3 linked regions of the Ovis aries genome follow. The protein of the gene in region 3 interacts with the protein of the main gene of each other region in a pairwise test. Links are inferred from orthologs where the notes say so. Each region holds a gene or a part of one and is shown on either strand. Other genes may lie near its edges.

Region 1 (3,745 bases), on a different chromosome or scaffold from region 3:
AAGTTCCACAGTAGCCACACACACACACAAAACGGTGAGGAGAGTGAAATACAGTGACATGTTTTGAGTCTGAGGCCTCTTGAAATCCATTTCTAAAGGTATATGGGGGAGTAGATTCCACAATTTCCCTCAGTCACTGACTCCTTCTTAACAAACCTGGTTTTAGAGAACTTCCTTCTAACCAATAAATCCCGCCCACTGTCCTGAGTCCATTTCCTCTATTATGACTCCAGTGGAAGAAGGCAGCAGAGACAAACACACTTTATGACTCCGTGCACGGAAGACTTCACTTCCACTCTTTCTAGCCTGCTATCTGTCCTCCCTTACACTTGCATTCAGTTTAGTAATAGCAGCTACCATTCATTGCCACCAATTCTATGCCAGGTACCAGATACATACACTGGCTCCCTTCTCCATAATTATCAGGAACTCAATCTGCAGACAACTCTGCAGGACCTAGGTCTAAAGGAGAGACTCCTTTGCCCAAAACAGGGAAGCAGGAGATCTAGGATTTCTGCTAAATAATGACTCTGTGTTCTAACACTTTTCTTTTGGGGGTCTTAACTCATTATCCACGACTCTTTTGTGCCTCTTAGGAAACGTGGAGAGACCAAGACCTTAATTACAAAGGGTAAAGACCTTTAGACCCTCACTCAGCTATCTTCAGGAACTCTCTATGACAGCCAAGCCATCTCTTTCTCTTTCCTTAAACTGTGGTCAGAAATCCGGAGTTCAGGACTTTCCGGGGTTTGATCCCTAGTCAGGGAACTAGATCCCACAACTAAGAGTTACCATGCCCATCCTGCATTCCGCAACTAAAGATCCCAAGTGCCACAACTGAGACCCAGTGCAGCCAAATAAATAAATAAATATTTTTTTAAAAAAAAGAAAAGAAAACCTAAGTTCTATTTATTCACATTCAGTATTCATGAGAGCTTACTGTGTGCCCAGGCAGTGTGAGGGACACAAGATGAGATCCAATTCCTGCACTCAAAGTTTCATCTCTTTGGAAAAGCAAGACATACGCATAAAAAATTTGACTACAAAAGAAAAAAAAATTTTTTTTTTTTTACTACCCAAGACAATAACTCTATGCCGGGAGGCAGGAGGAATGTTAATATGTGATACAAGAGGACCCTTCCAAGCTGAATCCAAGGTCAAAGATCCATTCTGTGAAAAGGTGGATCAGTTTCTTTCTTAGAACGAGCTTTTATAGACATGGTATTCAAACCCAAGTCTAATGCACAATGACCAATTCACTGACCCATTCCAGTCATAGCAAGTGGAGACACCCCAACAACAAGCTCAAGACAAAATGGTAGCAAATACTGTCACCACCTGAATAGGGATGGGGAAGAAGTATGCAGACCCTACCTGCACTGACCTAAGCAATCAGACTCCTGCAGCAGATCTCCTACCAAATAAAACTTTCATGCCATAGACCAGGAGTGACCCAATCCAACAGAGACGGAGACGCGTTTTAAGTTACACTTCTTCCTCCCCCGATGACCTCACTATTTCTTCTCACTCCTGACCACATACCACAGTCCTCCAGGCCTAGCCAGAGGGAGACCAGCGGTAATACAAGCCAGAAAGAAGGGAACTCTCCCCAAAGAGGACTTACAACTTGGCTAATCAAGTGGCCCGGTTTTAACAGGGAATTCCATCCTACCCCTCACCCCCACCTTCTTCCCTCAAACACTGGTGTAAGCAACGGCTCCATTTTCGGTTCCGGGAATCCTGGTACTTCCTAAAGAAAGAAAGCGGATTGGAAGACCGAAACTCAGAGCTGGCGACCAGAAGCTCCCTCCTCCTGTGAGACCGCCCCCGCTACGCCTGGGGGAGGAAGGCACCACCTCTCTTCTCTAAGCAAGACCAGATCCCCCTCCCCCTTCTGCTGCCTCCTCTCTTCTGGCTCCCCACCTGCTGCCCTCTTCTCAACATGCGGTTCCCAGGACCCGAAAGCTCAACCTCCACCAGGGGCTAGTGCCCCTGGGGTGTCCCACTAGCCTGTGTTCCAGGTTAATCCCTAACCCCCCTACGGACCCCTGCCCCACGATAGGGGGAGGGGTGTCATCATAGCAAGGCTTCTCTCTGGTCTATTACCAAGGTGAAGGCGGAAAGCGGGTAGGAAAAAGCGCTATTCCCTAGCCCTTTAATAGGAAAAGAACACAAAACAGTCATCGCCGCCCCCATGTCACCTCACCCAGGACTGCTTTCCTCCCCCTCAACCCCGACCCTTCAAAAGCCCACCTCCTGCAGGCGAGGGGCTCCTCACTGCAGCCCAGGTCGCCCCCTTGTGCGAGGCGGAGGACAAAACCGCCCCCCACCCCCACACCAGCTCAGCGTCCTTCAAATGCGGGGGCAGGCGTGTGGCCGGCCCGGCGCCCCCTCCCCGAGCTCTCGGGAGGGAAGGACCACACCGCTCTATGCCAGGCAGTGCCGGGCGGGCGAGCGAGCGGAGAGCGGGGCGAGGGGACTCTATCCTCGCAGCCCCCACCCTGAGCCTCTCCTCTACCCGGACCCGCCTTCCCTCCTCCAAGCCCCTCACCTGTTCCTGCTCCCAGCTCCGCCGCTGCGGCCGCCGCCTCCGCCCCCACAGGCTCCGCTCGGCTCTCGCTCCACTCTCTCCGGCTCCCTCAGCCGATTTCAGCGCGGCTGCTCCCCTGGCCTCGCTCCCGGCTCCCTCCTTCCTGCCCTCCACCTAGCACCGGAAGCAGCGACGGCGACAGGAGCTGTGCGGCGCACCCCCACCCCCAGACCGGGATACTTCCCACCTCCCCGATCGCGCGAGAGCTGCGCACCGGCGAGCGGCAGATCTCGCGAGATTCATCACCATGGCAGCGGCTGCAGCAGAAGCAGTCGGTATTGGAGGCGAAGTCCGGGCGGGGTCCGATGTGGGGGCTGGAATCTGCGGGCGGTGGTGGCGGAAGCTAGGGAATAGGGCTGAGACAGTGGGAACAGGTGAGAAGCCCCAGGGTTCTGCCTGTTATTTAAGGACTGAGGCGGCGTAGTGGGCGCAGTGGAGACTGGGGCTCCTTGGGCAGTCAGGAAGCCAGAGAAGGAGTGAACATCTCTTGCTTTGGACCTTACTCCTTCAGCTCTCATTTTCATTTCTTAACCAGGGATAGGTGTAGGCCTCCGAGAGCCCTCAGTGCACCAGTGTTGCTACTCACTGCTAAGGCTAGGTTGCTGGGGGGTGGGGGTGGGAGCTCTGAATCAGGAGATCTTTTTTCATAGGGAAGAGGGAGAGTGATGAATTTAAGAGACTGAAGGAAACAACTGGACACTGGGCCAGTTAGGAAGTTGGAACTTGAAAGATAAACAGTTGAGGCCTAATATTCAGAAGTGTGGTTTGAGGCAGTATACCTCAAGTATGAATTTTAGTATTACAAGGAAAGTGAGGGATTTTGCACCTGTGTTTCTCTGTTCCTGCCTACTCCCACTTTCATCACACTCATTTTTGCACCTGGTCTAGACATGCAGCGTTACCTTGGAACAGTCACAGCTGTGATACAAGAAGGGCACTAATAATGCTAAGCACAGAAGGTTCTTGAAATGCCCTTTCTCCTCATTTACAGCAGTACAGATTTTCCTTGGCTTACAATGGGGTTACATCCCAATAAACCCATTGTAAGTTGAAAATATCTAAAGTCGAAAGTGCATTTACTGAACATCATAGCTTAACCTAGCCTGCCTTAAACGTGTTCAGAATATTTACATTAGACTACAGTTGAGCAAAATA
Region 2 (3,745 bases), on a different chromosome or scaffold from region 3:
GACTGTTTTGAAAATCTGCCTGAGCAATTAAGTATGGCGGGAGTTGAGAACCACTGGGTTAGATAAATAAAGAGGATACTGGGGTGGGAGAGAGGAAATAGAGTAAATCATTTTCCACTTTCTTCCCTCCGAATTAAGCAGAGTTTCCAGAAAGTGTCACATAAACACAGATGGTTCTTGAGATGGCGTGTGATTTGATAGCACAGGGATAAGCCTTCTTTGCATATATATATACATATATGTACGTCACATATCGTTACATATACGTACACCTGCTCTGCTCTGCTAAGTCATTCATTCATGTCCAACCCCTTGTGACCCCATGAACCATAGCCTGCCAGGTTCCCCTGTTTATAGGATTTTTTGGCAAAAATACTGTAATGGGTTGCTATACCTTCTTCCAGAGGATCTTCCCAACCCAGGGATTGAATTCACATCTCCTACACTGGCAGGCAGGTTCTTCACCACTAGCGCCACCTGGGAAGCCCATATATACATACATATGTATATATTTACAAGTATCTATTTTAATAAATATTAGAAAAATATAACCAGCATATCACATTTGAGAATTCATGTTTTTAATGCTTAGGATGGGCTAAGATAAGGTACTGAAGTGCAGAAGGTAAACGCATTTAAGCGCACAATCTGTAAATTCTAGAACAAGTGGATATGGCAAAAACTTCTGGCAGAGGTGAGCTTCCCTGATCGCTCCCATGGTAAAGCATCTGCCTGCAATGCGGAAAGGTCCCCTGGAGAAGGAAATGGCAATCCACTCCAGCATTCTTGCCTGGAAAATCCCGTGGACCGAGGAGCCTGACAGGCTACAGTCCGTGGGGTCGCAAAGAGTTGGACATGACTGGGAGACTTCACTTTCACTTTCTGACAGAGGTATGTAAAACAACTGGAGTTTGAAGAACAGCAAACTCAAGTGGCCCAGAACCTGTGAAATCTTTCTCACCAGCCTTCACTGGTCTACACTGTCTCCCTTGGCCTAGCGGTGCAGACCGCACAAAGCCTCCCTCTCCTGGCTCTTCTCACCTGGATGCTCGTCCCTCATCCCAAGTATTCAGATACTTCCAAACTGGGCACAGACTCAAATCGGCCTCTTCCAGCCTCGCAGTCACGATCCGATTACTGATGTTAAAGCCTGGAACTTAACTTGTCTCCTTTTTCAGATTTAAATCTGAGCTAAAACCTAACTTAGGGTGCCTTAGCACAATAGGGCAGAAAACCAATGCTCACCAGGCGTCCCAGCCCCGCAAGCACAAAAGTGAAACCTAAGCGACCCAAATCCAGGTTATGCAAACGCAAAGGAGGGGGTTGAGGGGACGAAAGGAAAACTCCAAAGCGAGCAAACAAAACCCGCCTGCAGAAAAGGCTCCGACTCGCGAACATTTCCCTCTGTATTTGCCGTTCTCAGGGCATGATGCAACCTAAGGTTGCCCAATTTATATTTGAACATTTTTCCCAGCGAGCTTCAAAACCTCCCAACTCCATAAAATGACGTTTTAAAAGTTCAAGTCTGCAGCCCAAGAAGCCTGCACGACAGGCCGGATAACTCGACGGTCACCTAAGCCCAAGGAACTGGGCTGAGTCTCAAAGGTAGATGAGGGAGAGGCGCCAAGGCCGGCAGCTCGGAGCCTAACAGCCACGTACGTCTGTACCTTTCCCCTACCAGCCTCAGTCCACTGCGTTAGCTACTGCCAGGGGCGACCGTCCGCGCTTCACCTTTCCCCTGCTCTGCTTCTTGAGCCCTGCTCCTCTCCCCGATCCAAAGGGCGCTCAGAATGGCAAAACGGGAAAACCAAAACCAAAAAAAAACAGTGCCCAGGTCTTTAGCCTTCCTTCTCCTCTTCCTGGTACCTCCCGCCCCCGCTTTCCACATCCCGGCGGCCTCCTGGTCACCCAGTCATCGGCTACACCTTGCACCACCCAATAAAATGGCAGGTAGCAACAGGCGAGGCCTCCAACCCCGCGGGCCTCCCACCCCGGGCAAGCCTCCCGGGGTCTCCGACGGTACCCCCAAACCCAAATCGCCCGTCTACTCTCCAAGTCTCCAATCCACGGTCCCGCGGAGCCTCCTGATCGCTCTCCCGGGACCATTTCTGTCGCCAGCGGAGGAGCAGGTGGCCGCGTAACAGGTGCCAGGCGAGAGGGCCCGGGCGGTGGCGCCGCCGCCCAGATGGGGGCTGCGCTGGGCACCGGGAGGACCCGGGTAGGAGCGCCGGAGGAGGCCACGTCGGGGGGACAGGAGCGGGGGTACCGCGCAGAGGGAGACAGCGCTCGGGGGGGCCCAGGATGCGGCCGCCCGTCCTCGCCACCCAGGACGCGACCCTCGCCCAGGCTGCCCCACTTACAATCTCCAGGCACACGAAGGCGCCCGAGTAGGTCCGCAGGATGTCGGGGCCGGCGGGCAGGGTGACCCGCGGCGCGGGGAAGGACATGGCGGGATTCGGAGGCGGCGGAACTGGTGCTCCGCCGGCCGACATGCTGCCGCTGCTGCGTCTCCGCGCGCCGCCGCCTCCCTCCGCCCGCCTCCGCCTCCCGGGCTCCCGCCGCCGCCGCCGCCGCCGCTCGGGCCCGCCGGGTCCTGGCGCGCCGCTCGGGAGGGAGGGGGCGTGGCCGCGCCGTCCTCGGCCAGGCCGGGCCCCGCCCCGTCACGTGGGCCCAGGTGAGCGCGCCTCCGCCGCGGCGCCCGGGGGTCACGTGCACAGGTGCGGCGGCCACCTGGCCCGATTCTTCCTGCGCCCGCTCTGCCGGTCCCCTGTGCCACCCAGGCCAGCGCTCCTGGCTCCACTTCCCGACTCTTTATTTTTCCCCCTTAGTCTCCCTCCCGGTAGTTTCCACGTTTTCCTTCACCTGTTCTCCTCCCAACTCTCACAGCTTCCCTATCCCACTTTCCTCAATGTAACTACAAGTCAGGTCTTGGAGCTGTGACTCAAGGTCATCAGTCACACCTAAAAAGGGGAGTGGATCAGTTTTAAATGAGACTCTTGTGGGATTTTAAAAACACCACTAGGACATTGTCGCCTGGTGGAGTCAGATGGGTCAATGCCAACATCTATTGGCGGTGGATGGCGGGCAGGGAACCGGCTGCTTTGCATGCCAGTGGCGTGCTCATCTGTGGAGTGGGGTTGAGGTTAGCTGCTCTATATGGATGTCTGAATTACATGATACAACATGAGAATAGTAAACCCAAGTAGGTGCTCTTTAAATGGTAGCTGGTAGAATGATGCCTATTTTTCTAATTTTTACATACGCACACATCACACTGCTCTGTAGACATGAAAATGCATGTTATACTTTCCACATAAAGCTTTACTTATTGGTTTCACCTGACTGAAACTTATGAATTGCTGTTTTTAAAACAAGTATTCATTTATTTATTTGGCTGCACCAGGTCCCAGTTAGGGCACCCGGGATCTTTCCTGCATCATACAGGAACTTTCCTTGTTTTGCAGGAACTCAGTAGTTGCCCCAGGAGGTCTTATTTGCTGCAGAGTCTTGTGGGATCTTAGTTCCTCCACCAGGGATCAAACCTAGGCCCCTGTGTTACAAGGTGGCTTCTTAAACACTGGAGCACCAGCGAAGACCCTGTTATTTTCTTTTAAACACTTAGGGTTTTGTTTTTGTTTTTGTTTTTGTTTTTTTTTTAACATTCTATGTATGGCTTGGATTCCCTGCCCCAATTTACCCCCATTTTATATTTGGTCTTAATGTCAACATTTTATAAGTAAAACAA
Region 3 (3,745 bases):
ATACAATCAGACACCTCTGTGGTTCCCCCACCACTCCCCTCCCAGCACATGAAAATGACTTCCCTGAAGGAGCAGAAGCTAGAGACAATTAGATTCTCTTACTCACTAGGAGAAACTTCTACATTGTGCCCTGAGACCCAAATCCCAATATACAGTGGCCTCTTCTTAAAGTGAGGGTTGGAAAAGGGGGGAAGAGGGAGTGGCATGTGTACAGGGGTAGAGGAAACAGCAGGAAGTAGGCCCAGTATGGGGTGACTGATCATGGATGGTGAGTCCAGCAAACAGAAAACCTGGTTGACAATTCCCATGTTGATTCTAGTCAGTGTGAGATTCACAACTGTTTGTTCTTCTAAATGTTAAGAGTCAAATTAAAACTCTGAGAAGCCTCACAAAGTTCCAAATCAGTTTCAGGCTCTAGAGCAGGTTTGGGGAAGGAGAGCTGTGAAACAGAGTTCTTTGCTTGTCTTAGGCAGTGACAGCAGGGAAAGGTACAAGTGGGGCTAAACTGCAAGTGGGAGCAGAAGGACAACTCTGGGAGCTGGCTTTGGGCTGAGATTCCATAAGGCTCATACTAGCAGAGGTTCCAAGGATCTCCAAACAAAATGCAAGCCTTCTTAGACATAGTCTATGCTTCCATAGTCTAGGGCTTCCCTAGTGGCTCAGACGGTAAAGAGTCTGCCTGCAGTGTGGGAGACCTGGGTTCAATCCCTGGGTCAGGAAGATCCCCTGGAGAAGGAAATGGCAACCCACTCCAGTATTCAAGCTTGGAAAATCCCATGGACAGAGGAGCCTGGCAGGCTACAATCCACGGGGTCTCAAAGAGTCAGACATGACTTAGCGACTTCACTTTGAACTTTGAACTTTTGATGCTCCCTGGAACCATCCGTCTCCCCATCTCCACTCAAGCACCCTGTCCTGTTCTGATCATTCATACCTGTGGGGATGAGTCCATCACCAGAGCCCCCATAGCCACCAGACACAATGCTGGTTTCATTGAGGTTGGGTCCTGACACCATCACCTGCTGGAGGTCCTATAGGCCAGAGAAGAGGAGGCTTCAGGAACATAGGGGCAGCTGAAGCATTTTGGGGGTGAAAACAAGCTTGGATTGAAGCATCATAGAGAGAGCACACAAGGGAAGTCTGCACAGAATCAGAACAAAAATTTGTAAAAAGATTGAAGGGAGTTAGGTAAGTTAGGGGAAGGCTACTGGAACGGAGGTGAGAGTTGAGGGTTTATGAGCTGGGATTCCTCAACTGAAACAATATGAAGAATCAAACAGAAGCACCTGCTCCAGCCCATCATCCTCAGGAAGCTGCCCAGCTTCACCGTTCCCATGGATGGGGATCTCCATTGTGGCTGCCTTTCCTAGGATCCCGTCCGTCATAGCGAGCGAAGGGACTGGAGTCAAGGTCTTCACCCCAGCGCCCTGCAAAGCCCAACACAGACAGCTCTGGAAACTGGCCAGTACTCCAAAGAGGAAAGTCTCCCCTACCATTTCAGAGGTTGTCCCAGGGCTTCAGAGTTCTGGGGTTTGGCCACCACTCTTCCCTGAACTCTGTGTATTTCTCCCGTCCAAGGTGCATATTTGTACACAGGCAAACCCAGGCCTCAGGTGCGTCTGACCTGAGGTCATGTCCCCATGAACCCCTCACCCTACCATAACTCCGCGGGTTATTCACGTACTCAATCACTCCACAGACATTTAATGAGTGCCTACTGTGTCACACACTATCTGAGACAATGGAGATACAGCAGCGAACAAGAGAGATAAAGTCTGTGTTCTCAAGAAGCTCATCCCCATGCAGGTGTTTCTCCCCATCAGGAGATTAACCCCTTTCCCCGAGCTCCGGTGTCTACTCCCATTCAGGTATGTTCACCACTGTTTGGCTATTCACACTCCTTTCGTGTTTCTTCCCCTTTCCAGCAGGTGGTCTCCCCCTCCTCCATCCCATGCACCTCCTCTTCCTCGGGCCCTGCCCCCCAGGCCTTAGTTATATCAGTTGGTCTAAGTTCTCGACCTCTGGAAAAAACCTCTTTTTTCCCAGGACATAGGTAGGTGATCCCTTCCAAAGTCAGTTTAGTTTCCCCAGGTGTGTGAGTCTCCGCCCTCCCCCCCATGCACCTGGGCATCAGGTGTGTCCTCATCCTTCCCCAGGGTTCAGAGGCATCTTGCCCTCTCAGGTTCGTGCATTCAACTTGCCCTCGCCCATGCATGTCCCTCTCACCTCGGGCCGGGCCGCTCTTCCCCTCAGGGCGCCAGGCCCGGGCCGCGCGGGGACCTCCGGCTCCAGTTCCCGTCGCGATCCTAGCAGCAGGTCAGGGACTCGGCGGAAGTGACGTCCCCACCCGGGCAGAAGAAGCCGGCCACGTCGCAGATTATGAGGGCGGAAGTGATGTTGACATCTGGGGCGGGGCGATCCTGGAGCCAACCCTTCTGTCCCTGGGGAGCTACGATACGTCACTTCCGGGGCGTTACCGAGAAGCTGAAAAGGAAATGACCTAGAGCTCACGCTGGTGGCGTGATGGAGCAGCAACAGCAGCAGCAGCAGCAGCAATTGAGAAACGTGAGTGGGAGCTAAGTCGCTTTAGGGCCATGCGTTCAACTAGCATCCTTGTCTGCATAGCGGGAACCCCAAATAGCCAAGCATCTGAGGGCTGGGAACGTCGGGCCGTGGGGCGCGATCCTGGGAAAGCTCGGGCGGCTCGGCCTTAAGATGTGGCTCCTCTTCGCTGAGTTCCTTGTCCCCCTTCCTCTCAGCTGCGGGACTTCCTTTTGGTCTACAATCGGATGACGGAACTCTGCTTCCAGCGCTGCGTGCCCAGCCTGCACCACCGAGCTCTGGATGCTGAGGAGGTTAGGTGGGGAACTGAGTAGGGGAATTACCCTCTATCCTCAGAGTTAACAGTAGACTGCTTCTCTCTTCCGCCACTTCCCCTACCTCTGGCCCCGGCCTTTCTATGACCCTCGCCCCTAGGCAGGAGTTGCGGCAGGACCTGACAGGACTCCTTTGACTTCTGCTTCCATCCTGTCTTCCAGGAGGCATGTCTGCACAGCTGTGCCGGGAAGCTGATCCATTCTAATCACCGCCTCATGGCCACTTACGTGCAGCTCATGCCTGCCCTGGTACAGCGCCGCATGGCAGACTACGAGGCTGCCTCAGCTGTGCCACGTGCTGCTGCTGAACAACTGGAAACCTCACCCTCTGGCAGCTCGCCATCCGCAAACCTCGGGAAAGGAGGCGCTGGATGAACCCTCAAATTAAAGGAGCCAGTGGACCTAGGGCTGGGTGCAGCCTGTGTATAGCAAGTGAGGAGTTGTCCGAGAGCTGGGTACTGTTGCTCCTTTTCCTGGAGCTAATAAACCCACTTTTCCTCTGTTTGGTTTATATTCTGGGCAAGGAAGTTTTGCCCACATTGTTGGCACCATCTTTATTATTCTGTCAGTTAGTGCTTCAGCCCTGGAAGCATAGAAGTTGCTTTCTGTATTAGAAGGAAAGCCTATAACCAGGCATCTGGTTAAAGCAAGGTCTGAGGGTAAAATTTTAAGATTGGTAATAGCAACAAGTTGGTTGCCCCGATGAAAGAAAATGGGAACTCTATCTAGCTATCCTTAAATCTGTCTGACTGAATGGCTCACTTGGAGATATCTTGGAAAACAGATAAGAATCCACAGGGCTTTTAGGCATTACCTCCTGGGAAGTCAGAAGCGTCAGAGGTGAAACCTTGTAAGAATTCAGGGGTGTT

What was found.
Region 1: the proteins of ARFIP2 (region 3) and ARF3 interact in a two-hybrid assay, tested with the Homo sapiens proteins (2 studies listed by BioGRID and IntAct). The link is inferred for Ovis aries from reciprocal best matches to the Homo sapiens genes ARFIP2 and ARF3.
Region 2: the proteins of ARFIP2 (region 3) and MAL2 interact in binary tests that used the Homo sapiens proteins (3 or more experiments, as listed by UniProt). The two-hybrid records come from large-scale screens. The link is inferred for Ovis aries from reciprocal best matches to the Homo sapiens genes ARFIP2 and MAL2.

Annotation. Positions count from the first base shown.
Region 1 is NC_056056.1:137,260,418-137,264,162, reverse strand, and holds the start of ARF3 (ADP-ribosylation factor 3), read right to left. Parts: upstream 2,652-3,745; 5' UTR 1,686-2,651; intron 1-1,685.
Region 2 is NC_056062.1:58,085,799-58,089,543, forward strand, and holds the start of MAL2 (protein MAL2), read right to left. Parts: upstream 2,532-3,745; 5' UTR 2,493-2,531; coding exon 2,361-2,492; intron 1-2,360. UniProt on the Homo sapiens protein: Member of the machinery of polarized transport. Required for the indirect transcytotic route at the step of the egress of the transcytosing cargo from perinuclear endosomes in order for it to travel to the apical surface via a raft-dependent pathway.
Region 3 is NC_056068.1:46,309,878-46,313,622, reverse strand, and holds the start of ARFIP2 (arfaptin-2), read right to left. Parts: upstream 2,337-3,745; 5' UTR 2,124-2,336; intron 1,428-2,123; 5' UTR 1,386-1,427; coding exon 1,287-1,385; intron 1,032-1,286; coding exon 935-1,031; intron 1-934. Other genes in the region: TIMM10B (mitochondrial import inner membrane translocase subunit Tim10 B), read left to right, coding at 2,524-2,565, 2,760-2,855, 3,039-3,251. UniProt on the Homo sapiens protein: Plays a role in constitutive metalloproteinase (MMP) secretion from the trans Golgi network. May have important functions during vesicle biogenesis at certain cargo subdomains, which could be predominantly utilized by secreted MMPs, such as MMP7 and MMP2.